Canis lupus familiaris: one gene and its partners. The main gene of each other region encodes a partner of the protein of the gene in region 4 in a complex. Links are inferred from orthologs where the notes say so. Each region holds a gene or a part of one and is shown on either strand. Other genes may lie near its edges.

Region 1 (4,162 bases), on a different chromosome or scaffold from region 4:
TCTTTAAACATATATATATATATATGTTTATATAATAAAAATATATACCTAAACACATATATAAATATATACATAAACATATATATATATATTTATTTATTTATGATAGTCACACACAGAGAGAGGCAGAGACATAGGCAGAGGGAGAAGCAGGCTCCATGCACCGGGAGCCCGACATGGGATTCGATCCCGGGTCTCCAGGATCGTGCCCTGGGCCAAAGGCAGGCGCCAAACCGCTGCGCCACCCAGGGATCCCAACATAAACATGTGTATTAAATATATAAACATGTTTATACGTATAAACATATTTATATATAAACATATATAAAAACATATATAAACATATATATGTTGAGGATATATATATATATATATATATATCCTTTATACATAGCCCATAGTGTTTATACATCTTCCCCCTTACCCTGCCTCAACGCCATATTCAGGCTATTTCACTCCTTTATAAGGGTTACAACTTAGTTCAGTGATTTGTGGGTTTTCACAGCAAGATCCCACCCAACGCAACAAATATTCATTGAGCGCCTGTGCATCAGGCACCGTATCAGGCACTGGGATCCGCGTTAAATGAAAGATACCATCCTGCACTTGAAGAAAGCCTAGTAGGAGTGATGAACAAGTAAACAAATTACCCAGGTGAGCTTCAAGAACTTAGTTTGGAGCTTAAGATAATATAACGTGTATAAGCAGCTTCCAACCCTGTAAAACAAAGGATGCAAGAGAACAGATCCCTTCAGGGAGGGAGAAGGGAGCTAAGGTACCGTCAAGTGCCGCTTTACCGTAAGTAGCCTAATAATCCAACCCATTAGATATACAATCTATAAGCGACAGCACCTGCCTTAAAAGCACGTGGGATTGTAAGGGGGAAAAAAATGCAAATTCATACCTACTAAAATCAGAATTGGGAGGACGGGACGTTTAAATCTGCGTTTTAAACAAACTCCCCATGGACTCAGGCCACCCAAGGTTTTAGAACACAGCGCAGTCAAATTCGGCAGGCCTCATTCCCCAGCCGCTCCCTCCCTTCGGCTAAGGAGGCTGGCCCCGCGGCGCGCCTCTCCTCCCTCCCTCCCTTCTCCCCCGGAGCCGTCCATCTCGTCGGCGGTCACCCAGCGGGAGGCAAGGTGCAGCCACCTACCGCCCAAACTACCACGCAGACACCTGGACCCTCGCTCCGCAAAGGATTCCGGGAAACCTCAACAAGCCAATAAAGGGCGGGGAGGAGGGGCAGAAGAAGAGGGACGAGCGGCTTCTTTGATTGACGCGAAGCACGCCCAATGAGAGCAGAGGACCAGGGACGCTTCCGCCTCAATGGGCGGGCTGTTAGCAACGTCAACCAATCCGACTCCGAAGCGTCTACCTTGTGGGAGGTCCTTGAGGCCGCTGAGGTCGTTGGTGTCTGTTGAACGGCTTGTGGAAGTCGTGCTGCCTTGGGCAGGGCGTTAAAGTCGTTCTCGAGGGGAACGTCTCTGTCCGAAGAGAAAATGAGTTTAGCTCTGAGGTCGGTAATGAGGAGGCCGCAATGCCCTCCACACCTCGCAGCGGGCCCCAGGGCTGGCGTGTGTAGAAGGGAGGTAGCTGGGCCGAGGCGAGCTGGAAGGGGATGCATTTTGGGATGAGGGCGAGGAGCCTCGGCCAGCCTTCCTGGCTCGGATTCCTCACCCTGGGGGCCCTGGTGCTCCGCAGGTGAGGAGTCCCGTGCATTTGTGCCGAGGTAGTTAGCGTCTGTATCAGCGCGTCGGGCTTTGCACCACCGAGGAGATGGGTTTCTAGTTGGGAGGAGGGAGTGAAATATCGCGATGCTTCTTCTCGCGGTGTTTCTCCGCGAAGTCAGGCCGGGGAGCCTCCCTGGGTTCAGCTCCGCCCTCCGGGTCTCCGGCCCCTGCAGCCCCTGCAGCCCCTGCAGCCCCTGCAGCCCCTGCAGCCCCTGCAGCCCCTGCAGCCCCTGCAGCCCCTGCAGCCCCTGCAGCCCCTGCAGCCGTCAGACCGAGCTATAAATTTTGGAAAGAGCTTTAAACTCTTCCTTGCTCTTATCCTGGGGCCCTGCTTTAAGATATAACGGGCGACCCATATAAATGACTTTAATTGATTTCTCAAAAAAAAATTTTTTTTTAGTTTTGTTTACCTTTCATTGACTTCCAATCTCTAACCCCGTTCGTTGCCCCCAGCAGCAGCAGCACCTAGATGTTTTTACACGTTGCACCTTAAAAAAAAAAAAAAAAAAAAAAAAAAAAAAGGTGGTTACGCCTTTCTGAACAGGTGCGGCTTTGGGTTGGGAGATGATGGTGGCAGCCCTGCCTCGACCCCGTGGCGGGTCCTGCTGTTGACCTGGCCGTCCAGAGAAGGTGACCGCGGGGACTGGGGTCCCTGTTCGCGCGAAGTCAGGTGTCTTGTGAAAGGTTGTCCCCCCGCTCTGTTTATTACTATAGGTCTCCTGGTCATCTTCTGATCGTCTGTCTCTTGACGGTTTTGTGGTAGGTTTTTAGAAAGCAAAACACAGGCAAATAGGTAAGGTGTTTTTATTAAATAAAATCAACTAGGCTTTACATTTCAAAGTGTTAGGAAATTGGTTTCAAACTTCTTGTACGGATGTTGCGGCACCATTCGAAATTTTGGAACACTAAGATGAGTATCTCTTAAGACATACCTGGCTTTTTTTTTTTTTTTTCCTTTTTTTTTTAACATTTATTTATTCTTGAGAGTTAGAGAGGCAGAGACACAGGCAGATGGAGAAGCAAGCTCCAATGCAGGGAGCCCGGTGCAGGGACTCGATCCCGGGACCCCAGGGTCACGCCCTGGACTGAAGGCAGGTGCTCAACCGCTGGGCCACCCAGGGATCCCCATTTCTGCCTTTTTAAATAAAATCTACTTTCAAGAAATTTCCAGGATTTAGGAGAAGCTATATCTAAATTTACAAGTGAAATTTAGAAAACCATGGACTCTTCACTATGGGGTGAGCAAGGCTTTGACTCATGGAAGAAAAATTTCATTTTTCTCTCAAATAATTCCTTTTAAGAAATTTAAAAAATATAGAAAATTAGCACAAACATTCTTGTTTTGGCTTTTAATTTTCATGGTATATTTAGACTTCAGTATTTCGGTTGATTTGTTAATATCAATGGAAGAAATTATAAATAAAGCCCCAAACTTAGCAATGTGTACTGTAAATCACTTTGAACCCACAATGCCACAAACTTTGTAAGTTAATTGTTAAGTGATACGCTTTTTTTGGTAGTAATTTTGATAACTTATAAATGCTCTCAAAAGTAAGCCAAATATGCAATGATCCTCAATTATGAATTTTCCTTTGATTAGTTTAATACTATGTTGTAGAGTAATGTTAATAAGTAGGAGTGCTTTAGTTTTGTTGCGATTTCTGTGATGAATAATTTTTTTATTCACAGTTATTTCTTCCACATTAATATCAGAATAAATACAAAGCCAGAAGGAAAGAAAGTTAGGTCCTTTTTTTCTTATAATAACATGTAACACTTTTCAGTTTTGGAAAGTGCAGATTTATAGCAGCTTAGACTATGGATTGAGCAAGGCTTTGACTCATGGGAAGAAAAATTTCATTTTTCTCTCAAATAATTCCTTTTTAGAAATTAAAAAAATTCTTCCTTGTTTAATTTCTTTGTCGCATTTTGAAATTTTAATTATCTAGATGTGTAGGAGAATAGAATTAAAGTAGACTGAATAGACTTTTCTTCTCATTTCATAGAAATGAGCTTGTAGTAGACAAAACAAAGAGAAAAAAAAGAAGAGAACTCTCTGAAGAACAGAAACAAGAAATTAAAGATGCTTTTGAACTGTTTGACACAGACAAAGATGAAGCAATAGATTATCATGAACTAAAGGTAATAATGTACTTTAAAATGTATATTTTTCTGTTAAAATTGTTTGCATTTTCTATAGTTGGCTAAAATAACCCATCTAAAGTATTTTAACTAAACTGGTTGTGGAAATATGAAACCATTTGAGATGTTCACAGTTAAGTGCTATAATAAAATTAAATACTAGCATCTTTTTAGACTTTCCTTTTCACACTGTGAAGCGAATAGTATTTTAAATATAAAAGTATATTACTATGGTAGGGCCTTATTTTCACTCATGTAATAAAAAGATTTCAAACTATAGGTTTTAA
Region 2 (3,494 bases), on a different chromosome or scaffold from region 4:
TCATGTCCCAATATGTCCCTTTTATACAGTTTTGCTGTGTGAGAATCAGTAAACAGTTCCCGCATTTAAAGATTTTCTTAAAGGTCACCACCACTCAAGTTCCCACTGTGACTTCATTAAGGATACAAGAACAGAGGGAAAGCAGTTTGGCTCGATTATTGATCAACTTCACCAAACGCCGTCTTGCTAGAACATATTTCTGGGCAGTAGAGATTTTCTCAACACCAACAGGCATCACAGACTGACACAACTGAGAATCAGAAACAAACGCAGGATTAGCGATTACATAAACTAACAGAAACTTCATGAAGAGAGGGTCACTTATGACAGGCCCTGCAAAAAAACAAAGAAGTTTAAACATTCCTGCAGATGAGAGTTATCATCTGGTTAGGAAGCTGGTAACTTTATAAAACCGAGAGCCAAAGTAGTGGAATTCACAAATGAAGACTCCTCTGCCGATTTCTGCAAAAGGTCTTATCTCTGTAACAGATGTTTCCAATCTGCTGAGGGGCCGACCAACCCTGAATCTCTTGTCAAACTAAAACAAAATTCAACAGTAGGTTTTTCAGGCCGTGGGTCTAACAACGCCATGGAGATTTTCTGTAACAGCTGTCATGTATCTTCTGAAGAAAATGTAAAAGCCGATTTCTACAGCATTAACTAAAATAGGCTCATCAACCAGAACCTCCTTTCATCACACCTCTGTTTGGCATAAGCACTGCGGTCCGATTCAAAATTCAGCTGCTGGGTTGGACAGAAGGCAAACTGAAGTGGGGCTGGGAGGGCACCGCACACTTGCCAGGAAGGCTGCCGTTTCTCTGGCGAGTGCTGGTGTCACCCGTAAGCTACGCGTGTTGGGGAAGGGCTGCCAGATGTAAAGCCCCCCACTTCAGGGATTACTAGAACCTCATCAGTAACTCCCGCCTCAGGACCTGCTAGCTGTGTGGCTTTGGGTAAATTATTCAAACTTCCAGGGCCTCCACTTCCTCATCTGAGAAAATAGGAGTGGCTACACTATCTGCCTCATGTATTGCAACAGAACTTGTCTGGCACATCAGAAACACCCACCAACTGCTCCCTATGATTGCTGGAAGCAGGCAAGAGGGAGGAGGTTTTGACTACTCTGAAGAGTAATGCGGAGCTTTTCAGGACAGTTGGTGCAAAGGAGGAATGGCAAAATGGCTCCACATCTAGGCTGCCACGGGCCACCAGGGAGCTTCAGCACCGGCCAGGGTATGCCTTGTGTCATTCAGCTGTGCCGGATGGGAGAGAAAGTGGCTACTTAGGATGTAAGCCTAGCGACTCAGTATCTTTAGCTACAATATCGGTGAATGATTCTGGGTCACTGAGGGCAGGCAGTCAAGTCTTATATGCTATCCCATTTGTCTGAAAAATTCTCTAAACAGATACTGAAGATGCTGAAGACACAGAGACCTCTTACTTAAGGGATCACTTCTACTGAATAAGCATCTGCAACAGAAACCCAGGTTTCTCAGCACAGATTTCAGAGTATGAATTACCAAAACTCTACTTCAAAAGCCAGCTGCCGTTCTACTGAAGGGTAGCAGGTGGTGTTCCTGAACAGATGCACTTCACCATCTTCCATTCAAGTGTTGCCCTGATTACCAGGTGTGGTGCTACGGGGAGGACTCTTCTTCAAACCACACAGAGGCATCATTTCAAGCCCTTTTATCACTGCATACATCATCTTTACACACAAGTCGGACACCAATATTTTGGTCATTAGGAAAAGCAAGGATTCTCCAAAATCTCCATGGCTCATTATAAGATTCATACCTCTTTTATCTCATCTGGTGGAAGCTGCTCTACATTCTGTAGCTTGTTGACACTCCGTCGGTGACTGTCATAATAGCTGAAGAAATCATTAGCGCTCTGTTTCAGCAGGTAGACAATAATGCCCAAACCTGGCAGGCGCCAATATGGAATCACTGGAGCTTGGGTATCTAATAGAGTTGATAATAAAAACAGAATGTTCCACTTACAAGAATATTAAATGAATTTCAAATGACCTGTTTTAAAACAAGGGATGCCCAGAACTGAAGGGCATGTAAACTATTATTAAAACCAACCCACAACTACTTTTAAATACTTCTGACAGTTCAGAGGAGTGGTGAAGTGCCATGGTGATCTGGGACTCAAATCTAGGCAGTTCATCATCAGTCTCTGTTCTTAACTGCTAGCTTAAACTGCTTCTCTACAAATGAATATTCCTGAATCTACCACAAACCCACCCCCTCCTGTGTCTACGACTGGCAAAGGTTAAGTTTGCTGATTAAATCTTTAAAGAGTCTAAGGAAGAATAAAGACCAATATATATTAGGCTTCATAAAGTTCATCAAGTATTAAAGATCGGAGAATGGCCTAGTATGTGAAAGACAGGCTCAAAGTGAAAAGAAAGCAAGTGAAATTTTAATTGTTAGTGATGATTATTAATGTTTTTGAAGAATAAATGACAAAACTATAATTTCATTTGAAAATGTTATGATCAGGCTCAACTTAACTTGTTTTAAAATGTTAGATTCGGGGCAGCCCCAGTGGCTCAGCGCTTTAGCGCTGCCTTCAGCCCAGGGCATGATCCTGGAGACCCGGGATCAACTCCCATATCAGGCTCCTGGCATGGAGCCTGCTTCTCCCTCTGCCTGTGTCTCTGCCTCTCTCTCTCTGTCTCTCATGAATAAATAAATAAAATCTTAAAAAAAAAAAAAAAAAGATTCAAGGGGGAAGAACGGAGCCCCTTGGACACTTTATAATGGAGTTGCACAGAGTTGTTAGTTCCTGGCACCATTTACATGAAACAGTGGTTAGATACTGTTAAACTAATATACTTTAATAACACCATCCTACTAAATCTTTTATGTGATTAAGCAATTTTCAGGGAAAATAAGATCTTGAAGATGAAAATGTGACAAAATGATTTGCAGAAAAATCACAGAGCAAGCACCACTAACATCCGAATAGACTGTCTTCTGAGGGTCCCATGGGATAACAGCTTTCATCAACCCACAACCCTCACATTCCAGATCTCACCTACTGGGTCCTTAGGAAATCACAGACTATGTCAGTTTACTTAGCATCCACACTTTACTTTGCTGTGATACAGAAATTTGGAGCTATACTACGAGACCCAATTCAGACACTACCTTCAGCTTAACATGATCTTACGCATAAACCGTCTGTTATGTTTGTACATTTTTCACCCAGCTAGTTTACTTGCCCATCTTAGATACTTTCTTTGGGGTCTCAAATACTATTCAAACCCAAAGCTCTTTGAAATTTATCCTTAGAAAATCTTGAATTTCTCTGTCCTCTTGAGCTCTCTAACCTATCCACAGGACTGACACCAGTACCTCCTTACTGATCTTTCTTAAAGTCATTGACAAATTTTCCCACTAATTACACATAAAGAAAAGAGCTGCATTTCACTGGAGCCATCTAGAGCTTATTTTAATCACAGCAACTTAATCCTCAATTAC
Region 3 (3,500 bases), on a different chromosome or scaffold from region 4:
CCCTAGCCATTTGTCCTTCCTCAATAATTTTCCTGTTTTGGCTTATCTCTTGGCACCCACTGCCCAGCCGTTCTCCAGTCCGGCCAGAGCAGCATGAGCAGCAAGCATGCAGGAGGAGGGTGGGCTCACCTTGCTCAGTCATCTGCCGCTGCTCACAAATCCGCAGCACTTTGAGAGCTTTCTGCTCAGTGCTCAGGGGGATCCGCTCAATGTGCAGCTCCAAGGAAACTCGGCCCAACTCAGGGCAGTAGTCAAAGTAGTCCACTCCCAGCTGCCACAGGCTGCAAACATCCAAGGACAGGAGCGACTGATGAGCCCATGTGCTGCCCTAGAGCTTGGGGACTGGCACCAAGATGACTCCTCCCCTGGACCCGTTGCCTTCAGGGAACCAGACAGGGGAGAGCACAATCCAAGACCCAGTGGTACATCCATGCTGAAAAGCACCTCATATCCTTGGGGCTTTCCTACCTGTGATGAGCAAACAGTCCTGAGGCATATTCCAGCAGGAGGAACTCTCTCATGTTAGATCCAAAGCTGAAAGAAAACATAACAGGAGACCCAAACCCCTGGCCTGCTCCATTCAGGGCCCTCCCACAGCCCAACCCAAGGGCAGGCATGGCCGCCACACACTTACTACAGGTTGTGCGACTGGAGGAGCTTGCAGTGATCCAGCAGGTCTGTCAGATGGGCCACAAACCACCAGTTGCTCAGAGCAATACTACAGATTCAAACACCAGGGCAAGAAGGAGAGTCAGGGTGACTATATGGCCCATGTGAGCCTGCATATCCTTTGCATAAAAGGATGGGAGGGACAATAACAAGTGAAAATATGTCTGGAAGCACACAGCTATGTGCTATGTGGGGACGGACAGTGGATACTCAGAAGGATGGTAAGCCCTCAAAGTGGAAGCCAACAATCTAGATCTCTGGAAAATGTCACAGTGAAAATAAAATTCAGGGATCCAATCACATGCAGAGAATGTGGATACAAAATAATGTGTAAAAAAAAAAACCAAACAAACAGATAGGCTTAATAAACACAGAGAACAAACTGGTGGTTATCAGACAGAGGGAGGTAGGGGACTGGAGAACTACGTGAAAAGGTACAAACTTCCAGTTATGAGTGATTTATGCAAATGAAAAGTATAGCTATGCTAACTTTATGTGGTAACGCATGGTAACTGCACTTCTGGTGGTGAACGTTTTGTGATGTACAGAATTGTCAAATGTAGTAAACCTGAAACTAACACATCAAAAATACAGAAATCAACAAAAGACTAAGAGACTGGTAGTTTTTGATGCTTGAGGAAACATGGACTTCAAAGCAATATATTTGCAGCTGGCTTCACTATTAATGCTTCTCATTGTACAGCTTTTGATTAATATACTTTATGAATAGGACTATATATATACATATATATACATGATACTTTTAAAAACCATCTTTTGTTTAGGTTTCTATTAGTACTTTGTATAAAGAAATTTTGTTCAATTACAAGATTTATAATTTTATCGTATATGTACTCTGGCCACAATGAAGGTGAAGTCCTCTCCCAAACCACACTTTTAATCAAAACCTAGAAGTTCCTGGGGCCCTTGTTAAAAGTGAAGGTTTCTAGGGCCCTCTAAAGGTCTGATTAAGTAAATGCCTTGGAAATCACTGTTTTACATCATCAGTTGTTTGAAAACACCCTGCATCATGCTCTATAGAGTATTCCAATGCACTTACTGTATGTACATACATCATTTCTGGTTATATTACTCATTTGTTACTTGGCATAGGCCTTTCTCTTTGTATATAATGCTTGACTTTTTTTTTTTTAAGTTTTTATTTATTTGAGAGAGAGAGAGTAGTAGAGAGCATGAGTGAGGAGGAGAGGGAGAAGCAGCAGGCTCCTCACCAAGCAGATCTTATTTATTGGGACTCCTGTCTAAAAGAACAAGGTCAGAAAGGAACACAGAATTACAAAATTAGCAAAGCCATAGCTAAAGGAGAACTTGGATCAAGGAAGTACTCTTTGAAAACTTGAGCATGATAGGACTTTGTGTAGCACATAATTTATAGAACTCTTAGTATTGAAGGATTGTGGAAATATAAAAAAATACAAGAAAAGGTATTTTTGAAAATTGCCAAAAACGGGATCCCTGAGTGGCTCTCCGGTTTAGCGTCTGCCTTCGGCCCAGGGTGTGATCCTGAAGACCCAGGATCGAGTCCCATTCGGGCTCCCTGCATGGAGCCTGCTTCTCCCTCTGCCTGTGTCTACCTCTCTCGTTCTCTCTGTGTCTCTCATGAATAAATAAAGTCTTTTTAAAAAAAAAGAATATTGGAAAATATTACTTTTTTTTTAAAGATTTTATTTTAGGGCGCAAGTGCACGTGAAGGTGGAGAGGGACAGAATCTCAAGCAGACTCCTCACTCAGCACAGAGCCCAATGCAGGGCTTGATCCCATGACCCTGAAATCATGACCTGAGTTGAAACCAAGAAACAAGAGCATTCCCTAATGGTGGAATCCTGGAACAGATGGAATATTTGAGGATCCATAGCCCTAAGAACAAGGCGTAAGTTTTGAACATTTGTCCAGTAATTCAGTGTAAACCAATCTCTATTCTTTTTAGATCATGAAAGCAGAAGTTTTTACCTTAATGCATGATTATACCTTGAAACTATCTATCTTGATAGTCTGCTTCCAGTTTACTTACATTTGATTTTGTTATAGAAAGTAATCATTAAAACTCCACTTTCCTAAGAGTAAAAGACAAACACACTGGGGCACCTGGGTGCCCCAGTTAAGCATCCCAGTCATGATTTTGGCTCATCATGATCTCAGGGTCATGGACTGAGCCCTGCATCAGGCTCCATGCTCTGTGGGGAGTCTGCTTGAGATTCTTTCCCTCTCCCCCCCTTGTACACCCCCTCAAAATGCACACACAGTCCTCTCTTGTTCTCTAAAATAAATCTTTAAAAAAGTAACCAAGGGGCACCTGGGTGGCTCAGTCGGTTAAGCATCTTCCTTTGGCTCAGGTCATGATCCCGGGGTCCTGGGATCCAGCCCCACATATAGTTCCCTACTCAGTGGGGTGTCTGCTTCCCCCTTCTCCTCTTTACTCATGCTCTCTGCTGCTGGCTCTCTCTCAAATAAATAAAATTCCCCCAACTTGTGCTCCCCCTCACGTGTTCTCTCAGATAAATTCTTAAAAAAAAAAAAAGATTCCATGGGGATCCTTGGGTGGCTCAGCAGTTTAGCACCTGCCTTCGGCCCAGGGCGTGATCCTGGAGTCCTGGGATCGAGTCCCGCATCGGGCTCCCTGCATGGAGCCTGCTTCTCCCTTTGCCTGTGTCTCTGCCTCTCTCTCTCTCAATCTGTGTCTCTCATGAATAAATAAATAAAATCTTAAAAAAGATTCCTTTGACTAGTGCTCTATAAATATAAAAATCAGCAAATCTGAAATTGAGGTTAACACATAACTAATCCCTACTAAACTGCTTCCTGACCACCAT
Region 4 (3,500 bases):
AGTATTGGATATGCATGCACACCTTTTAATCTGGCAGTCCCTCTCTTGGGTGTATATACCCTAGAAAAATATGCCCCAAGACACATACCCAAGAATGAGCAGAGGTACATTTCCTAAAAGGTAAAAACAACTCAAACACATTCGTGAACAGTATATGGATAAATTGTGATATGTTCATAAACAGATTGACTAACACAGTGAAGGAGAACAAACTATATGTAATAACATGGATCAACTTTACAAGTTAAGAGTGAAAGATGCAAGAAATCAAGAGACTTAATACAGTGAGATTCCATTTATATAGAATTAAAAATAAGACAATATGGTATTTTGTAGAGATTCATGTATCAGCAGTTAATTTTAAATTAAAACCCCAGGAAAGTGATCACTATAAAAGCCAGGACACATGAGAGCAAGGAGAGAGAGGTGTGTGATCACACAGGGACCCAGGAGGGGCTGCTGGCCATCCAAGCATCTGCTTCAACACCACACTGTTCCTTTATGTTTCATGCTTTTCTACATGAAGTCATATTTCAGTTAGAAAAATTAACATCGTGCAATTCTGAGGAACTATATCATCATAGTACAATGTGAGCAGCCATATTAAAAACAAAAAACAACAAAACAAAAAAAACCACAGAGGAATGTTTGTTTAAATATGCAAGTATCATCAAACAGAAAGCATCCTGGGTGCTTGGGCTATTCTGTCCCAGGAGAAAACTGGAGTGGAGGTATAACCTTCTGAAGTAAATCCAATCACAGTGGAGTGTTGGATTAGAAAATATGGCTAAAACTAGGCTGGAATGCTCCAAAAATCAGATGGGGAGAAACAGGACTGATCAATGCTGTTGAAACTAATACAACATGGTGTGTCATCAATACTTGAATAATAAAAATTTCAAAGAGTAAGAAATAACTACATTTTTAAAGAATGTAAATCAAAGAGTAAGAAATAACTACAAAGAGTAAGAAATCAAAGAGTAAGAAATAACTACATTTTTAAAGAATGTATTTTTTTAATTTATTTGACAGAAAGAGAGCACAAGCAGGGAGAGCGGGAGAAGGAGAAACAGGCTCCCAGCTGAGCAGGGAGCCCAGTGTGAGGCTTGATCCCAACACTCTGGGATCATGACCTGAGCCTAAAGAATACAATCAACTGAGCCCCCAGGCATGCCAAATCACATGCTTTAATACCTTATAGTGTGCTTCATTATATAAAAGTTGAGAATGTTGTTTACAGCAATGTCCAAACATCTATTTTTCTATTTCGCCAAGTACAAGAGACATTTAAAGAAAAAAGACATAAGCCTGGTTTCAAAATTCAAAAACCATCCTATTTAAGACACACAGATCCTAAGTACAGACACAAGCCATGTGACCAGCACACACTCACCGGAACTCGGAGCTGTTGCAGAGCCAAATGCAGACTGACCGGGCTGTTGTCCAAACACAGAAGGCTGGCTGCTGCTGGACACGGTCCCAAAAGTAGGTGGTGCAGGCTGAGAACCAGCAGAAAACAACGCTGCTGAAGAGGACAGAGCTCCAAAGCCTGGGGGATTAGGCTGGCTGGCACCTTGACTTTGTCCAAATGTCGGGGTTTGGTTAACACCAAATGCTGGACTGGCAGATGGTGCTGAAGGTCCAGTGCCAAATACAAAGGAGGATCCTAGAGGCCCAGAGAAACACTGATGTCACCTTAATAGCTACTAGGAGATAATTCTCAAGAAACATCTATACCTTCAGCGGCAAACTTCAAGCTTCTTTTCATACACTTACCTACCTGTACAAATCCCATCAAGGCAAGTTTTCAATAAATAATTAAGAATACAGTTCTTGCCATTATTTAGTGAAACCATACAGACAGAATGCACATACACAAAATCATCTACCTATTAACAAACCCACATCCACAGCCAAACTTTTTTTTAGGTAGAGGGCCCATCTAAGACAACAGGCGATAACTCATCAGATATCTAATAAAGAGCAGAAACCAACTAACGTTGTCATCCTGTATATACTACAGAATGAGGACTTTTGTCTAACGGAACGGTCCCCCAGTTTCTGGTTACTTAACAACATAACATTTCAAAAAGAACAGTGGAAAAAACCAACATGACATTCTTATTGAGACTAGAAAAATTCTTCCCAAGACTTAATTCTATTAAACCGAATACAAACTATACAGGATTCCATGCAGTGAACAGTTACAACATCCTGAGTAAAGAGGACCTAACGGCACCCAGGCCATTCTGTGAAAACCTGCTACGCTATTTGCTAAGAGAGGATATAATTCAAGCCAGTCCAACTACAACACGTATGTTGTTCTTCTGTCAAAGTACCTGCAGAGCTGGAGGTGGTTGTAGCTCCAAAACTGAAGCCAGAGGTGGCGGTGCTATTACTGCTGGCTCCAGGACCAAAGACAAATGGTGTGACAGCTGGGCCTGTGCTGGACGTGGTTGCTGGTTTGCTCTCTTGAGAGAACAGCAAAGGCTGAGATGCGCTGGATTCGGCAGAGTTCCCAAAGGCAGAGCTGCTCACAGGATTGCTGGCCTGTCCAAACACGAAGGCAGCCACAGGCGCGCTGGAGGAGGAGGTGGAGCTACCAAATATGCCCCCGGGGGCTGATGTTGCTGGTGCGCTCGAAGTGGAAGCACTGCTGTTCAAGAAGCTGAACACAGACTTCACTGCACCTGGATCTGAGAGACAGAAACGAAGGGGGAAACAAAAATCTGTAAGAAAAGGAGTCACAGAAAGCATTTCTTCCCACTCTCCAGCCCAGTAATTCATTAGAAAACAGAATCATTAGGCTTTTTTCATATAAATGTATTCATCAAATGGACATGTTATATTAAATTTTGATATAAAGCAAACATACCCATCTTTTCTTTGATGGCTTTTGGACTGTATCTTAGACCAGGCACACTTTCAGCATTCAGATTAATGAGAATAAAAAATATCACTTAAGTCCAACACATCTAACTGGAGGATATGTCCGGATAACTGTTCAGATAGTGGGAGACAGCTGTACTCTTCATTTTGCCATTTATGTTAGCAAAATCATAATTTATCCAACTGACAGCCACTTTTCTCTGCATTATTTACTGACAGTGCATCCTTCAACTCACTAATTGGTAACTCCACCTTTAGGACATACTAAATCTCCAAAATATGTGTGCATTTGTTTTCTCTACAGTTACTGTTACTAGACTGGTTTAATTATTGTAGCTTCATAGTATGGTTTGATATTAGAACAAACCTGTTTGTGTTCCTGCCCTTCTCTCCAAAATTTGTGCATTTTCCCTTCCATATAAATTTTAAAACAAGCTTATAGCTTGTCACACTCCACAAATTAAGGCTTCCAGCTATGGAAGGACTAGGTCACAAGGATCAAAGAGGGCACAGGGAACGAGTCTATGGTCCTGCACTAGCATCCTACGGTGACAGATGGGAGCTACTCTTGCAGTGAGCACAGCACAAACAACACACAGCTGTGTGATCAC
Region 5 (4,091 bases), on a different chromosome or scaffold from region 4:
CCAGAGTGGATAGGAGAAGCAACTCCAATCCACAGAGCTGTTAGGCACCCAGGGTACTCTGGTGGCATTGTGGCTGGATGGACAAAAGAACACAGGTCTCCTGACTAACCCCGTGTTATTCTCACATATTTGCTCCTTCGCTAACAAAAGACAGTCTTTTAAAATTCATGTTTCCATTCACACATTCTTTAGCTTACAAGGTTACTGAGAGCAGATATCTATGTCTGCTGGTTACAGATGACATTCAGAATATTAGACTTAACTGTTACTATACCTACTACTTTTAGAAATGCCATTGCTGGGGCACCTGGGTGGCTAAGTGACTCTTGATTTTGGATCACATCATGATCACAGGGTCATGAGACTGAGGCCCTCATCTGGCCCAGGAGCCTGCTCTCTCCCTCTCCCGCTGCCCTTCCCTCACCCTTTCTCTAAAAAAAAAAAAAAAAAAAGAAAGAAAAAGAAATGCCATTGCTACTAATAATTATACTAATATAAATAGCAGCTGGCTTCTAGACCATAAATATTAACAAGACCACCTGTTTCTCCAACAGTTGACAGAGCAAAGTCATATGAACAGTATTGCCATTTAAAAGATATTACACATTTATGAATCTTACATATACTGTACCATCCTTGTATAAGATTCTTGACCAACAGAATGTTTTTAACTCTACCACTATTTAAAACAGAACATAAGGGATCCCTGGGTGGCGCAGCGGTTTAGCGCCTGCCTTTGGCCCAGGGCGCGATCCTGGAGACCCAGGATCGAATCCCACGTCGGGCTCCCGGGGCATGGAGCCTGCTTCTCCCTCTGCCTGTGTCTCTGCCTCTCTCTCTCTCTGTGTGCCTATCATAAATAAATAATAAAAAAAAAAAAAATTTAAAAAAAAAAAAAAAAAAAAAAAAAATAAAACAGAACATAAACATTATCACCATCAATTTTTTTTTAAAAATTTACATTGTTAAAAGGTTAACAAAATTATTACTTATTGAAAAAATAAGGGCAACCCTGGTGGCTAAGCGGTTTAGCGCCGCCTACAGCCCAGGACGTGATCCTGGAGACCTGGGATCGAGTCCCACATCAGGCTCCCTGCATGGAGCCTGCTTCTCCCTCTGCCTGTGTCTCTGCCTCTCTCTCTCTCCTCTCTGTGTATTCTCATGAATAAATAAATAAATAAATAAAATCTTAAAAAGAAAAAAGAAAATTCCTTAAATAGTAGCTCTTGTTAATCATACTTTTCTTGGTTTTAAACCCATGCCTTCCCACTGCACCTTTAAAATACCACTGGTCTAATATGATAGTTACATATCTCAGCTACAAAGCACAAGTTAATGTTAAAAGGGCATGGTCATCAACATAAATTCAGCGCAGGAGAATGAGGACTTTTTAAAATGGACATTAGAAGACATTAACTTGGGATCCCTGGGTGGCGCAGTGGTTTGGCGCCTGCCTTTGGCCCAGGGCGCGATCCTGGAGACCCGGGATCGAATCCCACATCAGGCTCCCGGTGCATGGAGCCTGCTTCTCCCTCTCCTATGTCTCTGCCTCTCCCTCTCTCTCTCTCTCTCTGTGACTATCATAAATAAATAAAAATTAAAAAAAAAAGACATTAACTTAAAATAAATAAATAAATAGATAGATAGATAGATAGATAGATAGATAGATAGATAGATAACTGACATTAACTTTAAAGGTAAAGGCACCAGGTTAAAACAAAAATAGTTCAGCTGGGGTAAACACAAAAACACTTTGGTATTCTTTAATCTTTAGAGACAAAAAGTCATATACACACTAACTTTTTCCTAAAATTTCTAGATAATCATTGTTTTGACCCAGTAGAATGAGGCTGTAACTGGCCATTTCTACCTGTGGGAATATCAGGATGGCAGGACAAGGAATGAGTATTCTCTTGGACAGAAGAAGAAAGAAATTAGTATTTTTAAACAACACAGCTCCTGTCTGATAGAGAAATGTTTTTCCTCAGAAACCAACAGGGCCAGTAACATTCTACTAACAGAAACATGGTCACTCACCAGAAAAAGGAAAGAAAAGTAATATACTACCTCTTCCCCCTACCCCTTTTAACTCTAAGATAAAAATAATGAACAGAGCTAAGGAGTAGGAAATACTTTCTTTCATAAGGAAAATTTTAGGCCTCCTTGAATAAAGGACTGAATAAAACAAACTTTTCTAAGTTTAAAAAAGAAGGAAAAAAACAAGAAAGAAATACATCTAACATTTCATATCCATGCCAGACAAATTCAGACAAAAGAAATGCTCAACTTCTCAAATGACCTGCCCCCACAAAGACTTAGAGTAATGAATCTGAATATAAATAATAAATGCAAAATAAAAATCACGATTTACTTTAATAGGGTCCAATAAATAAGATTTTTTTTAAAGTTAACAGAATTATTTGACTACAGTAAAATAAAAGCTGAATCTCTAAACACCATCTTAAAGTTAACATGCCCAAAACTGAACTCTATTGTCAACAAAACCCATTCCTCAGTCTTCTCAGTGTGGAGCCACCACTACTCAGCTGCTTGGGATAAAATCCTTGAAAGCCTTCACAACTAATCCAGGACCAACAGTGCCTTTCAAATCTACCCGCAAAACGCACCCAGAATCTACCCACTCAAGTCACTACCCTGGGCCTCCCTGCTTCAGCTCTTGCCTCCTACGTTCCACGTGATCCTTTCAAAGAACCCTTCCTCTGCCTAAACCTCTTGTACAGAGCAAAGCCCTACAGAAGCAGCCTCACCTCCTCTTACCTCCCGGACTTGGACTCATTTCCAGCCCTGCCTCCTTTCCCTTTCCTGGGCTCCAGTCACCCTGGAGCCTCCATGTTAGCCCCCCAATGACTCAGGCACATTTCTGCTCTAGCGCCTTTGTACTCCTTGTTTCCTCTATCTGGAACACTCCTCTCCCAGATACGCTCCTGACTGATTTCTCTGTTTCAGCTGAACTGTCATCTTGCCTTTGATTCTAACCTAGAACAAAATATTTAAGAGTGCAACCTGCAACCACCCCCAGCACTCCCTCATCTCCCTTACTGTAACCCATGCCAGAATGTAAGCTGCACAAGGACAGGGATTTTGTGTGTTTTATTCACTGATATATCCCAAGCTTCTAGAACAGCACCTGGCACATAGTAGGTGCTCATTTGTTGAATGAATAGGAATTTTATTCTTCCATTTGTGGAGAGTCTGTTCTTCCTGCACTCTCCTGCCAAATTAGCACCCACTGGCAAGCAAAGACCAGAGCAAAAACATTCCCTTCCGACTACCAACTGATACTTAACATTTCTGAGGCTGCACAGCATAAGGCAGTGACAGTATAAATGGCATGAATTCAGATCACACTTGGTCCAGACTAGTACTTTCCCTCTGAATATCCAGACAAAAACCAGTGGTATTTTAGAAGAAAAAAAAAAAGGCCTAGTTTTCAGGTGAACAGAATTTCAAATCAAAAGAATAAATAAGTATATGTATAGAAAGAATTTCATTATACAACTTCAGAGTACAAAATAAGTTTGTTCCATGTCTGTCTGAGAGAAAGCTATATACTTAATACAATACATGGGAAAAACTGGATCTGTCCTACATTATAACTCACCCACTGGAAATTAATTTATAAAAAAATTACTGAAGTTTCATGATGAGGTCATCATCCCATTTCATTAAAAATTTTAAATTTATGATTAATTTCATAAAAGGACAATTTTTACCCCCTCTACAAAATAAATATCAATTTAACCACAATTAAACCAACGAACTTATCAGTTTTGACCTCAGATACTGAAAGTTCATCATGAAAATAACCTCACTAGCTTTGTCCAAGAGAGAACTGGGGTGGCAGCGAGGGGGTTTAAGTCCAAACTTTGTTGGTAAATCTGACCAGGACACAAGACAGAGACTGGATGCCAGGTGTACCCTTGGTGAGCTATGGAGGAGGAAGCCAGGAAGAAACCACATGAAGGACCCACAGAAGTGGAATGTGGAACAGCCAATGCAACAAGATTGGGGCTGGATGGAAAGAGGACAGCACTAGGGCTCTGCCATCAATGACTGAGCCTGACAGTAAG
Region 6 (4,016 bases), on a different chromosome or scaffold from region 4:
GGAGGAGGTGTTATGGATATTTAATGGGTAAAGGTGGGGAATGCTGCTAAACACCCTACAATACAAAACATAGCTTTGAGACAAAAGGAATTACCTGCCCCAAAATGATAACAGTGCAGAGGCTGAAAAATCTTCTGTAGAGACATGCTATGCCAAATACTTAGGTTCAATTCCTAACCAAAAGAAACGCACCAAATTCTTAAGAAACAATGTTTAGGTACCTTAACTCTAATATCTATATTGTTAAATCTCCAAAAATGTCTTAGACCGCCCCTAACCTTTCAACAAACTGCATAATCACAGATGTGCACTCTGTTGGAAATTAAACATTAGTAGTAACCCTTACTTCCTAGGTTAATTACTACAATAAAAATATCACAATAAAATAATATACTCAATTTCTTCCGAGCTGTTAATTTGGTTCCCTAAAAGCTTGATTTCAACTATCTAGGAACTAGTAGAGACATGAATAAAGTCAGGTACCAAAGTACCACGAAACATATGAACGGTGTAAGTCCTCTTATCTAGGCCCCATATTTCAGGAACACACATATAATCAGTCTTTTAATAGACAATTTTTAGGTTTAGCTGCTCCCTGCTCCCTATTTATCCCTTCAAGTAAACACTGAACGCCTATTAGGTGGCAAGCAATCTGAATACAAAGAGAAGAAATGGGTGCCTGGGTGACTTAGTTAAGCATCTAACTCTTGATTTCGCTCAGGTCATTATTTCAGGTTTGTGAGCTTGAGCCCCAAGTCAGGCTCCACACCAGCAGGGAGTCTGCTTGGATTCTCCCTCTCCCTCTCTCTCTCTTTCCACCTCTCTAAAATAAATAAATAATTTTTTTAAAAAGATAAAAATATTTTACCACAGTCTAATAAGATAAACAGCTAAAATACAAAATGATGTGTGCTATAAATAGAAGTATCAAATAAGTGTTATGGAAGCTTGCTGGAGACAGAATGCCAGGAAAGGCTTCCCAGAAGAGGGTGATGCTTGAACTGAGAAAATGTCACAGAAAATATACTCTTCACATTTCTGTGTTTAGACTACCGTTCTCTTCTGCTCTTACACACTAGTTTTCAGTTTTTGCTTTGTCATCTAAACAAGAACATGTGATATGACCAGTGTGAACAGACCAAAGTGGCAACTTTTAACTCAATTTCCTCAAATCTTAATGAAGAGTCAAAAAAAAAAATTTTTTTTTTTCTGTCAAAGTATTTCCCAGTACCTGCAAATTGTCCCAGTTCTGGTTTTGTTTTTTAAATCTCCTAACTTCTTCCATCAAGTGAATAGATCATCTGTCTCCCAGTTAACAAGCTGAATTTCTAAGACTGTCGTCACAGGGGATGATCACTGCTCTTTTCTTCCAGTTAGTTTCTGCTTCCAAAGAGAGGTTTCATTTCCTCACCTTTTCCCACTACAATACTTTGAATTCTGTCAGGAAGGAGCCATAAATTCCAAGGTACAAGAACTACAAAATTACCGCTGCCTATCTAAGTCTTGTCTGTATTTTCTGCTTTCTATTCCAAAACTCTTATGAGTCACTAAGTGGATTCTGTCTCCTGAGTCCCCAGCAGCTGACACAAATAATTTCAGATTTGGAATAGGAAATTAGCCAGACATGGGAGTCTTATCCATTTGTTTCCAATACATTTACATCACCGACATTCCTTACCCAACTTTTTAATTCTCATGGTTTAGGTTAGGGTCCCGCAGATGAAGTTTCTGCCTTAACACGAACAGAACTGGTAACCACGCAGAAACGCTGTTGAAGGCTGCTTCTAAATACCGAAGCCCCCACCCCCCTCCCCCCAAAGGTTCCAAATTGAACCTTCAATAATAGGAGGATGGAACACCCAGGGAGAGTGATACAGTAGAAAAATTTCTAGACTGAGGCGGATCTGGTACAGGCTAATCCTAATCCTGTCCCTTCTTTGGACCTCAGTTCCTCCACCTATAAAACTCGCACGTGATGTACGATAGGGGGATTGGCTTAATTTCTAAGGTTCCCCAAAGCTACAGTAATCCAGAAATCCCACCTTTCTCCTCCTCTAGCTTTACACGAAACACGTGGGAGGGCAGAAAATAACCTTTTACTCCACTAGATCGATCTTAATTCTCAGATCTTGTGTTAAAAAGCTTAACAAACTCCCGACCCACCCATCCGAAACGCCGGGCTGCACATCTCCCCCGTGGAGACGTCAAGGCAAATTAAAGCCCGTCCCGAACGACCGTCAACCAAGCAAGCGCTGGGGAGATCCTATTCAGGGTCCTAAGACGCGGCCCCCGCAAAGGGCCCGCCCACCTAATCACCGCCAGGCAAATGAATGAGTACCACCAGATACATGGACGCTCCCCGAGCGCAGGCTGCCACGGGAGACCCCGGGGCCCTGGCTCCCCGGACCTCGGTCCCCTCCCAGCGCCCGCAGAGCCGGGCCTCGGGGCCTCGGGGCCGCGGGGCCGCGGGGCCGCGGGGCCGCGGGGTCGCGGGCCCCGCCCCCTCCCTCGGGGCAGAAGGTGCGCGCCCGGGCGCGAGACTTCGGCGCGGAGGGCCTGGGACGCCCCGCGCACCCGCCCGCCCAGAGGGGAGGAGGAGCCTGTCGGTCCGGGGCCGCCACCGCCCGGGCTCTCCACTTACCGCGGTGCGGTGGGGGAAGGGAAGTGTCAGGAGTGAAGGCCTAGGCCCGTCCGCCACCCGCCGCTCGGGGAGCAGCGCGCGGCCGCCACGAAACCGTCGCCGCCGATACCACCGCCGCCACCGACCGCCGCTTCGGGCGCAGCGCGCAGAGGGCCCGACTGCGTCACACGCCGCCTACCGTCACAGGCTCGCCCCGGGCGCTCCGCCCTCGCTGCCTGCGCATTGGCAGACGCCCCCGCCACTCTAGGCCCGCCCTGCGACTCATTGGGCAACTGGTCTTTTGAAACCGAACGTGAGGGCGGTCTTCGGGAGAAGGAGCGAGGGGGAAGAGGAGGAACGGGAGGAGTTACGGGGGGGAAATGGGAGGGACGGTGGGAGGGACAGGGAGTCCCGCCCCCTCTGCCGCGATTGGCTGGGGCGAGTCGTGACGTCACACAAGGCCCCCGCGAGGCGGGCTTGTGAGTGGCTGCGTTGGTGTGCACTGGGCGGGGTGCGGGAGAAGGGTGGTGACGCTATGCCGAGGCTCCGCCCCCCGCGTTGGAGCCGAGACAGTCAGGCTGCTGAAGCTCGGGCCAATCAGAGGGGAGGCTCCAGGATGGCATGGTAACTATTCTACCCTTTCGTTGCCCCAGTCCGCGGGCGGTGATGGGAAGGCTTCCCCGTAGTCCTGCCCGTACTTCCTGGCCAGACCACGTGCGGAGCTGGAGGGCCCTCCTGGGAGGTCTGTCTCTCCGCATAGCTCGCCTGCAGCTGCTCTGAGGCCCCAAAACCTGGCCTCCTGGTTTCCCAACCTATGCCGGCCCCGTCACAACCTTTCCTCTCTGAATCCCCAGAATAGACGCTATGAGCATGCCCTAAGGGAATGGCTCAGGGTAGGATATGTTACAAATGAGTATTCTTGGAACTTCTTAACCACCTGCACTTTAGGAGCTCTTATTTATTCTTAAAGGCCTGGTTCAAATGTTCCCGCCTTCTCTGGGATACATTCCCAGATCTGTCTCAGAGTGTTGGGCTACTGCTTGGTTGGGCAGGCCTCTGTTACAGCTTTGTCACTTTGTATCCTATTATTTACTTTTCTGTCTTCTGTGCCCAGGCTCTTTAAGGTCACAGCGGCATTTTATTCATAAAGGTTTCCCTTCCCCACCCTGGCCTAGTCCAAAACAGAAGTATTACAAGGGGAAATGTTGAGCATGTTCTAGAAACCAGACCCAGTAACTGAGAGTCCTGACACAGAATAGCAGGGACTGTGCTCAGAAAGCAAAACCTATTCAGACTACTCTCCACCACCACCTTCTCCTGGAACATCAATACAAGACTGAAATGGGCTCTGCACAAAAGTAGATGAATTTAAATCCCTCTTAGTGTTCAATGGTAG
Region 7 (4,090 bases), on a different chromosome or scaffold from region 4:
TTCTGGTCTAGGAATAAAGAGGATACAAATGAATCAAAGACGCTTCTGATACTCCAAAGTTTAGTGTTGGGAATGACAAAGGACATTAAGTACATATTACACAATCAGCAAGAAAGTAGAAAGTAATAAAAAGTATGATCCTAAGAATTAGGCACTACAAAGGTTTAGCAGGATACAACCATGGCCAGAACTGTGGTGTCTAATCCAAAGCTATAATGTCTCTCATCTCTTTGCATAATTAATAAGTCTGATCTAAGTATTTGGAGGAAACCAAAGCACAGAAACTAAAAACATTGCCTCAAAGGTAGAGTTTTAAAAATTTATGGACTTTCAGCCCAATGTTCCAACAGAAAACACGGAACTCCATTTCTAAAAGAGTTGGACTAAATGGAAACTGGAAACAATCTTCCTGAAAGAAATCCATGCAGTTGGAAATTTCCAGAGGAAAGCTACTAGGAGGTTAGGAAGAAGAGCCTCTACGACAGAGTCCTTTTGGTACAAAGCTGAGACACAGCCAACCTACTCTGAAATAGTTCTTTTGAGAAAGTTATATTCCACAGGGAGATAATAAATGTGGCCACTGTCCACGGATGCCCTTACTCCACAGAGGAGGTACATGCCTCTTGTGTGAACTGAGATTTAAGCTTAACCAGAAGCTTTTCAAACCACTGGTGTTTTTGTTTTTTTGTTTTTTTTTTTAGCATACATACACCACCATGACTTCTACAAACACATTAACTGAAGGACAAAAAAGATATCTAAAAATGCCAATATTCGGGATCCCTGGGTGGCGCAGCGGTTTGGCGCCTGCCTTTGGCCCAGGGTGCGATCCTGGAGACCCGGGATCGAATCCCACATCAGGCTCCCAGTGCATGGAGCCTGCTTCTCCCTCTGCCTGTGTCTCTGCCTCTCTCTCTCTCTCTCTGTGACTATCATAAATAAATAAATAAATAAATAAATAAATAAATAAATAATTAAAAAAAAAATGCCAATATTCAAAATGACTGTCTGCCAAACCCTAAGGGACCTTCCTAAAACCCTGAGTGATTTAAGTGTATTATTCTATTTTTGACTAGTGCCAGCTAGCAACACACACAAGGATTCTCCTATATGCTTCAGAGCCATTTCAATACTACTCTGAAAAGGGCTCATATTTGGGAAAAAAACAGGTTCCAAGGGTAAAGTGGACTGTCTGAGGTCACTTGCAAATCAGCAGGCACCAGCAATAGATTTTAAGTTTTCTCTTAGTCCAGACCTCCAGGCATTCCAAACAGAAGGCTGCTACTCAGTATAATCCCAACAGCTATAATGTGCTTTCCAGCACAAAAAGATCACTCTAATCCCTACTCTGAGCAAAGCAGTGCCTAGAAATCCTAGTGTCATTTCTTCCATCTTCAAGTGTGAGTTTGGTACGTTCCCAGGGACATCAAAGCATCTTTCAAGCAAACCAACCCCTTCCCTTCCCCTGTTCTCTATTGAAGAGGATGCCTTACCCTACAGGAGCTAGATCTACCCAACCTCCACAATGACTACCAGATAAATACAAATAAGGGGGGGGGGGGGCACAACGACCACAATGCTGCCAGATGAAACAGCTAGGGAGGAAAAAGAAAAGTCATCCTAGCAAAGTTCAGTAGTCCAGTGGAAATCCCAAAGAAGATCTCACTAGAGCGGGGAGGTGAAGTCAGTGGTAACAAAGAAGATAAGCAATGTGTGTAGTATTTACCGAGCGCCTATTACGTGCTCTTCTGGGTGCTGAGGACACAGCAGTGCATAAAAGTGGGGAGCCAGGGCTGGCACAGTGAGTGACAGGCATGTTGAATTTTAGGGCGGAGGGTGGTAGGGACGATGGAAGACACTTGAAGCGGAAAGGTGGAAGATGGAGGTGCGCTGACCTGGCTGAGGCTTCGGAGTCGGGCAGGCTTAGGTCTGAATCCTCACTTGACCACCTAGCTAGCGCTTAGCTGGACTCGTGAATCATCGGTAAAGAGGGTGCCTCTCGGTCTTGGGAGGGTTTCAATGAGCTAATGCACAGGAAGCGCTTCGCCAGCGTCTGGCGCTAGTAAGCGCTCTGTAAAGTAAGAACTGTCTCTTGTTTTAACATTTCATCTTCTCGTTCCCAAAGTCCACTACGGAGCCTGGGATCGCCTAAAAGACCCGGGCACGTCGGCCGACGGAGCCAATGCAGGAGGAAATGAGAAGATGGATGAATGAAAGGCTGCGAGGAGAAAGAGGGCAGCAACTGCAGCGAGGTGGCTCGGCCACACGCGGAACAGACCTCCCAACGAGCACATGGAGGAACCCGGGAACGTCGCCGGGGCAGGCAGGGCAACCGGCTGCAGCGGGGACAGAGGCGGGGGCTCCCCCCGGGCGACCGCGAAGCGCCCCGTCGCGCCTCGAGGGAGCGTCACGCCGGACAAGGAAGCGCGGGGTGGGGGGGCGGCGAGGAACGCGGGAGGAAGGCAAAGAGACTGGATGAAGAGACGGGAGGCCGGCGTGAGGCAAGGGGAGAGGCACCGGCCCCGTCTTGGAGAAGTCGCCTGGGATCCCCGCGCGCGGGGACCGTTTGGACGTAACCGCCTCGCGTCTCGGCGCCCGTCCACCTAGCGGGGCTTCACCCCGCTACCGCCGCCACACGTCTCGCCCGCAAGTCCCGCCCGGCTTCCGCTCGACTTCGACCCCGCGCCTCACTGCCACCCCCGCCGATTCGGCCCGCTCCGCACCTCACACACTGCCCGCCGGCGGCCGCCGCCATCTTCGCGCGCGCGCGCCCCGGCCCCGCCCCCAGACGCCGCAGCCACGTGACCGTTCGCCTCCGGCCGGGCTGTGGGCGGTGTTTCTTGTCACGTGACGGCGGGCGGGGCCAAGATGGCGACGCCCAGAGAGGTGAGGAAGCCGCGGTGGGAGCAGCACGGGCTGTAAAGAAAGCGGCGGAGTAGCAACGTCTGCGTCCTAGGTGCGAGGCCGTGGAGGATAGCTGGGCGCCAGTTCCCGAGCCGCAGAGAGAGGCTTGCCTACAGTGGAGCTTCCCTCCTCGCAGCTGGAGAACGGAAAGAGGAGGTGCTGGCTGTGTGAAGCTGCCGCTTTCGGCTTGACAAGGCTTGAGGGACCCAGAGGCCAAGGCGTCGCTAGTCACTCCGGTTTCTCCGGGGCCCGGTCTAGAGACATGACCCGAGAGCACGCTCCCCCGGTCCCCGGGGCTCCGCTGAGTGGGTCAGTGCTGGCGGAGGCAGCAGTAGTGTTCGCAGTGGTGCTGAGCATCCACGCAGCCGTGTGGGACCGATACTCGTGGTGCGCCGTGGCTCTCGCAGTGCAGGCCTTCTACGTCCAGTACAAGTGGGACCGGCTGCTGCAGCAGGGAAGCGCTGTCTTCCAGTTCCGCATGTCCGCAAACAGTGGCCTGCTGCCCGCATCAATGGTCATGCCTTTGTTCGGACTGGTCATGAAGGAGCGCTGCCAGTCCATGGGGAACCCATATTTTGAGCGCTTTGGAATTGTGGTGGCAGCCACTGGGATGGCAGTGGCCCTCTTCTCGTCGGTACTGGCACTGGGCATCACTCGCCCAGTGCCCACCAACACTTGTGTCATCTCAGGCTTGGCTGGAGGTGTCATCATTTATATCATGAAGCACTCACTGAGTGTGGGCGAGGTGATCGAGGTCCTGGAGGTCCTGCTGATCTTCGTCTACCTCAACATGATCCTGCTGTACCTGCTGCCCCGCTGCTTTACCCCTGGGGAGGCACTGCTTGTATTAGGTGGCATCAGCTTCATGCTCAACCAGCTCATCAAGCGTTCTCTGACTGTGGTGGAGAGCCAGGGCGACCCAGTGGATTTCTTCCTGCTGGTGGTGGTAGTAGGGATGGTGCTTATGGGCGTCTTCTTCAGCACACTCTTTGTCTTCATGGACTCAGGTACCTGGGCTTCCTCCATCTTCTTCCACCTTATGACTTGTGTGCTGGGCCTTGGCGTGGTCCTTCCCTGGCTGCACCGGCTTATCCGCAAGAACCCCCTGCTCTGGCTTCTTCAATTCCTCTTCCAGACAGAGACCCGCATCTACCTCCTGGTCTACTGGTCTCTGCTGGCCACCTTA

Evidence for each region.
Region 1: NUP153 (region 4) and CETN3 share a complex: the UniProt entries of both Homo sapiens proteins name them as parts of the nuclear pore complex. The link is inferred for Canis lupus familiaris from reciprocal best matches to the Homo sapiens genes NUP153 and CETN3.
Region 2: NUP153 (region 4) and NUP205 share a complex: the UniProt entries of both Homo sapiens proteins name them as parts of the nuclear pore complex. The link is inferred for Canis lupus familiaris from reciprocal best matches to the Homo sapiens genes NUP153 and NUP205.
Region 3: NUP153 (region 4) and NUP85 share a complex: the UniProt entries of both Homo sapiens proteins name them as parts of the nuclear pore complex. The link is inferred for Canis lupus familiaris from reciprocal best matches to the Homo sapiens genes NUP153 and NUP85.
Region 5: NUP153 (region 4) and NUP93 share a complex: the UniProt entries of both Homo sapiens proteins name them as parts of the nuclear pore complex. The link is inferred for Canis lupus familiaris from reciprocal best matches to the Homo sapiens genes NUP153 and NUP93.
Region 6: NUP153 (region 4) and NUP98 share a complex: the UniProt entries of both Homo sapiens proteins name them as parts of the nuclear pore complex. The link is inferred for Canis lupus familiaris from reciprocal best matches to the Homo sapiens genes NUP153 and NUP98.
Region 7: NUP153 (region 4) and NUP188 share a complex: the UniProt entries of both Homo sapiens proteins name them as parts of the nuclear pore complex. The link is inferred for Canis lupus familiaris from reciprocal best matches to the Homo sapiens genes NUP153 and NUP188.

The regions. Positions count from the first base shown.
Region 1 is NC_049224.1:18,661,794-18,665,955, forward strand, and holds the start of CETN3 (centrin-3), read left to right. Parts: upstream 1-1,362; 5' UTR 1,363-1,502; coding exon 1,503-1,519; intron 1,520-3,739; coding exon 3,740-3,875; intron 3,876-4,162. UniProt on the Homo sapiens protein: Plays a fundamental role in microtubule-organizing center structure and function. As a component of the TREX-2 complex, involved in the export of mRNAs to the cytoplasm through the nuclear pores.
Region 2 is NC_049237.1:12,272,354-12,275,847, forward strand, and holds part of NUP205 (nuclear pore complex protein Nup205), read right to left. Parts: intron 1,965-3,494; coding exon 1,798-1,964; intron 251-1,797; coding exon 127-250; intron 1-126. UniProt on the Homo sapiens protein: Plays a role in the nuclear pore complex (NPC) assembly and/or maintenance. May anchor NUP62 and other nucleoporins, but not NUP153 and TPR, to the NPC.
Region 3 is NC_049230.1:6,133,619-6,137,118, forward strand, and holds part of NUP85 (nuclear pore complex protein Nup85), read right to left. Parts: intron 719-3,500; coding exon 635-718; intron 535-634; coding exon 469-534; intron 282-468; coding exon 130-281; intron 1-129. UniProt on the Homo sapiens protein: Essential component of the nuclear pore complex (NPC) that seems to be required for NPC assembly and maintenance. As part of the NPC Nup107-160 subcomplex plays a role in RNA export and in tethering NUP96/Nup98 and NUP153 to the nucleus.
Region 4 is NC_049256.1:17,831,655-17,835,154, forward strand, and holds part of NUP153 (nuclear pore complex protein Nup153), read right to left. Parts: intron 2,697-3,500; coding exon 2,340-2,696; intron 1,667-2,339; coding exon 1,394-1,666; intron 1-1,393. UniProt on the Homo sapiens protein: Component of the nuclear pore complex (NPC), a complex required for the trafficking across the nuclear envelope. Functions as a scaffolding element in the nuclear phase of the NPC essential for normal nucleocytoplasmic transport of proteins and mRNAs.
Region 5 is NC_049223.1:58,826,693-58,830,783, forward strand, and holds the start of NUP93 (nuclear pore complex protein Nup93), read right to left. Parts: upstream 2,801-4,091; 5' UTR 2,798-2,800; coding exon 2,779-2,797; intron 1-2,778. UniProt on the Homo sapiens protein: Plays a role in the nuclear pore complex (NPC) assembly and/or maintenance. May anchor nucleoporins, but not NUP153 and TPR, to the NPC. During renal development, regulates podocyte migration and proliferation through SMAD4 signaling.
Region 6 is NC_049242.1:26,465,201-26,469,216, forward strand, and holds the start of NUP98 (nuclear pore complex protein Nup98-Nup96), read right to left. Parts: upstream 2,801-4,016; 5' UTR 2,642-2,800; intron 1,698-2,641; exon of another isoform or gene 1,679-1,697; intron 1-1,678. Other genes in the region: PGAP2 (post-GPI attachment to proteins factor 2), read left to right, coding at 3,156-3,244. UniProt on the Homo sapiens protein: Plays a role in the nuclear pore complex (NPC) assembly and/or maintenance. NUP98 and NUP96 are involved in the bidirectional transport across the NPC. May anchor NUP153 and TPR to the NPC.
Region 7 is NC_049230.1:54,798,197-54,802,286, forward strand, and holds the start of NUP188 (nucleoporin NUP188), read right to left. Parts: upstream 2,801-4,090; 5' UTR 2,756-2,800; coding exon 2,724-2,755; intron 1-2,723. Other genes in the region: DOLK (dolichol kinase), read left to right, coding at 3,167-4,090. UniProt on the Homo sapiens protein: Component of the nuclear pore complex (NPC), a complex required for the trafficking across the nuclear envelope. Required for proper protein transport into the nucleus.